Drosophila melanogaster: one gene and its partner. The protein of the gene in region 1 interacts with the protein of each later gene in a pairwise test. Each region holds a gene or a part of one and is shown in the gene's direction. Other genes may lie near its edges. The genes, in order: ckn and smal.

Region 1 (3,928 bases):
TTACTGACCTTATTAGATAAGTTTATCGTTTTCAGTTTTAGAAGCGAACTTAAATTACAATCGAAATTCCTTAACCAATAATAACCAATAACTCGACTTTCTTTTATTTATTACTCTAACGTATCTTTGCAATTTTAAATTTTGAGCAGACTTACCATGAATGACTAACTGGGAATCGAAGTTCATTTCGTAAAGTCGTATGGCCTCGTCCAATTCCATTTTCGTTGATATGGTGCAGGGATCGTTTTCCTCATCTACCCATTTGATGGTAAATGGCTAAACAAAACGCTCAATGAATTACACTTCTGTAACGTGCAGTACTTTATATATATTTTACCTGATCCAGAGGAAATCGACAAATGTTGCGAATCTCGTAGCACAGCTCCTCGTATGAGATATTCTTGTTGATGGTGGTAATGATAATCTGGCCATTGTAGGCGGTCTTTACCGTTATACTATTGGGCGTATTGGCCATGTTCATACTGGCGCTATTCAAGCTGACGCTGCTGCCGTCGTTCAGAATTTGCGAGGGCATTTTCTGCATTTGCTAGCTGGGTAAAATATTTTGATATCACGTAACACACAGAGACAAACAGATTGATAACAGAAAACTGCAAAAATAAGAGTAAATAGATACGAGTTAAAAACGAAGCGGTTTACAGTAAAATAAATTAAAAAGACATTTTACAATTACAAATTAAGCTAAAAGTAAGTTTTATTTTCTAGTTTAAATAAAAAAATATATTTTAATAAACTATTAGTGGCGAAATATATTTATATTTATACATTGACTGAACTTTTTTAAGGATTTGTTATTTTGTAGAAGCTTAACTGTAAAGTGTCGTAGCATTATCTTCAGAATCTGATAGATAAACGAACTTATGAATTTCTATTGCTCTCTCTGTTATCGTTTTCTCTTTGCCCACGAATTTGAAATCCCGCCCAAAACCAAATGTCAACTTTGACATTTGAGGCACACACACACATACGCAGACGCCAAACGAACTGCATGCCACAGGTAGTTGTTGTTGCTTGCGCTGCACCAAATGCGTAGACGTTGATAAAACGAATAAGACAAAACAAACGCGAGTGAATCATGCAAAACGCCCACAAAACAATAAAAGAAGAAAAGTAAGTGGAATTAGCACGCCAAAGCGAGTGTGCAAATTAGTTTATTTTTACTCCTCGCCTCTCCTTCTTTCACCGCTTACTTGGCATCTCAGTACTTAAGTATTTGAGCGTAATTAATGCCGTACATTGACCAAGGTAACTGTTAAAAGTACCCAGTTGGCCGCAACAACAATAGTGCAACAAATGAGCGAGAAAGAGAGAGAGTGGAGGCAGGGCATCGAGAGCGAGCAGGAGAGTCGCCAACCTGTTTTAACTCATTAGCATTTTTCAATTAAGACGCCGCTTTTTTAACATTAACACTTTTAATAAGCTTAAGCTTAGTAATCGACTCACACTGGTTCCTTTAGTTTATTTAACCACAAAAAGTATGCACAAAACGCCGCACAAATATAACACAGGGGACAAATCAAACAGCACGAAACATTTAAATTAAAGCCAATCAGTGCGCCACATACATTTTAATTAAGACACTGGCACTCGCACTCGTTTAATTAATTGTTATGGCTAAAACGAATTAAAACTAACATTGCTATTTCTCCGTTTATTTCGTTGTGGAAGGAGAGCACAAAGCGGAGAACGCGAAGTGACAGCACAGAAAATACCGACAAGGGAGTGCTGCAAGTGCCTCAATAATAACATGTTTACCAACACTGCTAGGGGTCGTTTTTAAATAATTGGTATTTTTGAGCTTCCACACCGGTTTCAGGGGTGGAAAACAATTATGACCGGTGATAAATGAAAAAGTTGTACGTACAACACTATTTAAAGCAAAAATACAAAAGACATTATTTTTTGATGATTATAACATCAACTTCAAAACACAAACTGAGCAGATGACCCAAAAATACTAAAACATCGATACGTCAATACTTTGTGTGCAATCGATGTTTTATTAATGAGGTATTTTCCAACAGCCACGCTGCGATCACACTAAGTTTTGTTTTCGTTTTTCCGCTGTTCGGACGTTTGTAGCGGAAACCCGTTCTTTTGTCGTTAGATTCAAAAACGAAATATATCACAAGTACGGATATCACAACAAAGTAAAGTGATTATAATTACAAAGTAAGAAAGCAGTGCTTAATATATCTGAGAAAATAAAAAAAATAAATAAAACTCAACAAATTGCCACAAAAGAAAATGGCGGCTCAGCAAATAAAAAAGAGCACTCGCGACCACAACAACTGAGCAAGAAATTCAGCTTAAAAGAAACCAACAAAAAAAAAAGCGTCAACATTTTCGTCTGCCTGAAATTAATCTGGTTTTTATGTTTTACTCGCGCGTCGTAGACATAAAATAAAGACAACAAACAGTGAGTTTTGGTGCGAGTGGATGTGTCTGCGTGCGTTTGATGCCGTTTGTTAGTCTCTTGTTTTTGTGGAAAAAACCATAAAAAACGTGAAATTCATTAAGCTACAAAAGCAACAATTACGAGCGTTTTACATTGTTTACATTTTGTGTGCCAGCTTTCGTTACGCTTGTGATTTATGTGATTTGTCGAACGGTAAGAGGAGGAGCGGAGAGAACTTAGCCAAAAGCCTGGAAAATAGTAATATTATCTGCTAACGTAAGTTTATAATATGTACACTTAATTACGTTTACACTTAAATGGGTCTTGGTGTTTTTGGTACATTTCGGACAGGCGGCAACTCTTTTTTGTGTTTTTATTTTGATGCGGCCTTCGTCCTGCGCTGCCTGCGTCGACGTCGGCGTCGCCATCTGTCACTTATGAGGGTTGCCAGCTGTTTCGATGCGCCTTGTATTCAATGCGGCATCTTTAGCATCTGCAGGAAATTGGGTTTTCAACAAAAAAATAGAGGAAACAAAAGACAATCAGGAGGAGGGGTACTCACGACTGCAGCTGCCGCTGTTTAGGCTTATGTAATTAATAAACGAACACGTGTCTGGCATTGCGAACGACACGTGACAACTCTGGTCGTGAGTAGTGGGAGTGTAATAAAACTTAAAGTCTTGTTCTTTATTGTTTTCCTTTTTTTTTATTAATTCTCCGTTTGCATAATTGTCCCTTGCCATAATTAAAATCGAGACCAGCGCTCTACGTAAATTTTTTCTGCTCTTTGGCTGTTATAGCTCAGATTGCGCCATAAAACTCATATAAATCAATAGAAAGCGCAGCAGTACACACTTACACACACACAGCCGGAAAAACCATAACTCACTTGCCATAATAAAACGAGTGAGAGCGAGATAGCTGGAGATGTAGAGAGAGTCCGCGCTCAATATGCAGAGATTTGTGTGGGAATCAAATGACTTGATGTCGTTGTCTCCAATGAAGTGTTAGAATAACGGTTGGGGAGGGGAGTCGGGCGGCAATGGCTCCACCAAGAGATTAGAGGCAGAGAAAGAGAGCGAGAGCATGCAGCTGCGCGGTTCTCAAATAGAGTTACCGCCGATGGAGCCTCGCTCGCTCTTGCGCTCTCTCCCCAAGTGGCTCCATCTCTCTATTTCTCTTATTGCCTTGTGCGGCATGAAAAGTGGTTGTGCTTGGTTCATTCGCTTGTGTGTGTGTGTGTGTGTGTGTGTGCGTGCCTCGGTTTGTTTGTCTTTTGCGTGGCATTCAACGCACAGTGGGACAGATAAGGAGATTATCAATTGCTGTCCCCACTCCCTCTCATTAATCTTCTCGCTGCAATGGAAAAGTAAACCAAGTTGAACGATCTATTAATATCTTACAACTTGAAGTTATATATAGGAACATTGAACGTATAAATAGGGCTCTATCTTTTTGAAGCCCAACTTAATATGTTCAATCTTTATATAGTATCTAATATTTACATAT
Region 2 (3,928 bases), on another chromosome or scaffold:
CATAAGCAAATACTTACATTGCATGAACGAGGACTCAAGGAACTTATCAGTTCGATTCATGGATACTATCACAGCGTAAACCAAATGGCGTATGTTTGCTTGTTATATTTGGCTATCAGTCCAGATGCATTGGAATGAATTCTTCATCAGGATCAACCGTCGTGTCAACAGCTATCGTTCTTGCACAATAGATAAAATACAGTAATGGGTATCTGATAGAATTTTTAATCTTCGAAAGCAGTCCATCGAGAATGTCAGTATCTATAAATACTTTATGGAGTGGGAAAGGTCTGGGACAATAAACAAATGTGGCAAAAGATACTATGCCAGTATCGCAGCATGGGGTTGATGTATTCACAGAGTCCTTGAAGGCTATGTAAATATTTACTCGTGATAACGCAACATTTGCTTGTTCTATCTATGTATGTATTTTGTATATCTATTAGCAGCGCTGAATGCATTTTTGTGTAAATTCCTGATCATAACCATTTGGCCGCCGCTCATCCGCTCGTCCGCTGATTTCTTTGACTGCCGGGCAGGCGAACAAGCCGTTTGACAGACAGCGCATGCCCAACGGCTTTGGCCGGAATGGGTATGAGTTATGGTTGGAAGTTGGCAATGCTTCTGCTGTCTGCTGTTTGTTTGTACACTCGGATGTGACAAATGGCCAATTGATAGGAACATGCAAAGAGTCTATCGAATAAAACTACGTACAAAGTTAAATTGACTACAAGACAGAATGTTTGATTTGCTGGAGTTGTCCTGTCAATAACATTTACATTAATCTTGCAGAATATTTGTATATATTTTTAAATTAATATCCAATTCATAGCTTTCTGGGTGTCTGTAATCATAAAATAGAAGACAAAAAACATGTTTTTTTTTTTTAACTAAGAAAACAGACAAAGAGACAGAAGAAGTACTGCTTTCATAAACAGTCACCATATATGATACAAATTGGTTACGGTTTCCAGATAACGCCTTTCCAAACGCTGTTCGCTTTTCGATAGGCGATCTGGCCCGGAGCGATATCAGTTGATTAGCGGCGATCCACTCGAGGAATTCGTTGTGGGCCCCTCGAAATTGTGTCACCGAGTCAAACATTCGAAAGTGGCGAAGAACAAAGGGTCGGATCAACTGGTGAGACCAATCAATCAACCCACAACCTCTGCGATACAATCTACAAGTGCGTAGCTATAAATCCCCATGCCCCACGAAAACCGTAGAGTTCGTAAATCATACATGTCCATATGATATGGTGCACCAATGTGACAAGATCGCATTTCTCTGCTGGAAATTATGACAAGTTGTATGTGCGATTTCGGCTTAATGCCGGCGTCAATCATTGGAAATTCATCAGAGGCCGCGATTGGCGGCGGTCCGCCATTTCCAATTTGGACTGCAAGGCGGATTCGCCGGAAAAAGCGAGCGAAAGGAAAAGTCGGGGAGGGTAAAAACAAATCAACAGTTCGAATTCGCTCTTGTTTTGTTCCACATTCGCCGCAGACGGAAATCTCTTATACGAGCCGGAAGAGAGCGGAAAAACTCTATCGGATTTGGAGTTTCTCGGCGATTTTCACAGAGCACAGGTGAAGTGCCTGGGCCTGGGCAGGTAAATTCAACTCCATTGTGGATAATTTTACTGAGAATTGAAAAACTTAGTTTTTAGCGCAGCATATACAATATAAACTATACTGTAGCTTAAATGATAAGTTTTAAGGAAACAAAAACATAGAAACAACTCCAAATTATGATTTAAATGTTAATTTGATAATATAAATCCTTGCAGGTCCTTTACAGCGCTCTCCACACATAAACTTTGTAAACAGTTCCACCGACGAGCGAACAGAGTCCACAAAAGAGAAGCGCTCGCTCTCTTAGCATCCACACTTACATGCAACGGAGTGGTGCGCTGCACGTTACATTCAATCGGATTCAATCGCTCGTCGACCTTCGTGCCGCGCGTTACAAGAGTCGCAGTCGCTGTCGCAGTCCGCCGTCTCAGTCTCAGTTTGTGCCCCCAGTCTCAATCCAGCTCTCGTGACAAGAAGAACAGAACGCCTTGGCCACTGGCAACGCGGTCGCGAATCAACGCAGTTACCCATCTCAGGCTTAATCGGCTGGCAGCCAATCGCCAAGAGATCCGACAGATACGGATACGCAATCCGCGCAGCGCGAGTGCAGAGATACGAATTGGTCAGGAATAAGATACGGTGCAAGTGGCACCCAAGATGCGGCAATTGTGCACCTGCGGCCGCCAGCAGCGTGCGGCAAAGTGTGTGAAATGTGCTACCTGAGAAAATGCCCACGGAGTGCTCAAACATATCGAAACAAACCAGCAGATAGAGTATCTTTTGCTGCCCCAGTGAACAACAGTGCTTGAAATTTTAGTAGAGAAATCGTTGTTTTTTGCTACAAACTAAAGTGCAAACGGAATACAATCAATATACACCTTAAGTCAACGCAAAGGCTAATTCAAAACTCTTGGAATATTTAGGTGAGTTGAGAGTGAAGAAAGGCCTAACTTGAAAACAATCAGTGCTCAATGCTCAAAGCAATCATGTCAATAAACAGGATTTCCCCATAGAGACTTTGCAATGCATAAATAAATATTGAGTTGCAAACAATCAATTAGTGCGACAAAAACAAGTTTATGTCAATTACTAACTAAATAATTCATTTATCCGAAAAGAAACCAGAAGAATATTGGCCCAATCAAATGTATCTCATCAAGGCGCATTCCAGAGATCAAAAGATATCATTTCCAACCCGTTCTCCCCATTTCTTACGGTGGCTGTCCCCTTGCCTCATTAATTAAACACAAATTAAGAAAGAGCCAAGCTGTCAACATCTGGGGCTAATCAAACTAACCTGCTGTATTTTATAAATAAGAAGCGAAGAAGAAAAGCGGCGGCAGGTCGTAAAACGCTAAGATACTGCCCTTATCTCCTAAAGAAAGATCTTTCTCCGAACACTTTGTGCCTCCGACGGCTGTTGCACACAGATTCTTATCTCGCAGATGCAGTTATGTATCTAGATATTCCGCAGTACAACCTCAACCTCGAGTCTTTGGCAACTTCACACTCCGCTAGACGCGCAACGAGGCCCCTGGATTTCATAATTTTCCCGCTGTTCTGCGGGGTAATTAAGTAGAAGTATGTTTGGCAATTAAAGTTCCAGAGACCTCGCTTTCGCTTTTTCCCCCCGCAATCATCAGCTTTTGTAAATAACTCGAGTTATTTTTCTTGCTCACTTGGGATGGTTTAGAAATTTAAGATTGAGATTGGGCATCCGATGGGTAGCGATTACCGCGAGCTGCGAAGATGCAGCCGCAATCGCGCATGCATAATTAATTTCGTGTAAAAATCATAATTACACCAATTAAAATTTGTGTAAACAAGTTGGCAGCAGGCGGGCGAGTCCCTCAATCTGCCCCAAGCGCCGTTTGGGGCGCAATCATTATGATAATACCGCTGAAAAAACTTTTCGTGGTCGATTGCGAGGGGAACTCTTTATTGCCATTGTAGAAAAAGTTGGTGGGCCCAGGCGGAATTGAGTTGGCTATATTATGGTAATGAGACGTTTGAGTATGCCTCCAATGAACAACAGATTTGCCGCAGATTTGCCCAATCTGCTTTAAACTGCGCCTAAAACCCATAATTCGATGTGCGTGAAAGAATTTAAAGCACCGAAGTTCATAGATGCATCCACATAGCTACCATTAACAGGTTGTATTCAATATTTTATTCAAATCTAACTAAAATACTAAGACAGCAAAGTGATAAAATTGATTAGCAATGAAATTATGAAATGCAATAATCGCTAGTTTTATTTCATTGCCACTGAATCCGAAAAATACGTTATTCATTCAAACGTTGCGTTGAATAAAATGTGAAATATGTTTGTGGAATTAAAAAAGGTGTATAAA

The links.
Region 2: the proteins of ckn (region 1) and smal interact in a two-hybrid assay, tested with the Drosophila melanogaster proteins (one large-scale study listed by BioGRID).

The regions. Positions count from the first base shown.
Region 1 is NT_033778.4:14,961,231-14,965,158, forward strand, and holds the start of ckn (caskin), read left to right. Parts: upstream 1-2,061; 5' UTR 2,062-2,695; intron 2,696-3,928.
Region 2 is NT_033779.5:6,177,203-6,181,130, forward strand, and holds the start of smal (smoke alarm), read left to right. Parts: upstream 1-1,930; 5' UTR 1,931-2,497; intron 2,498-3,928.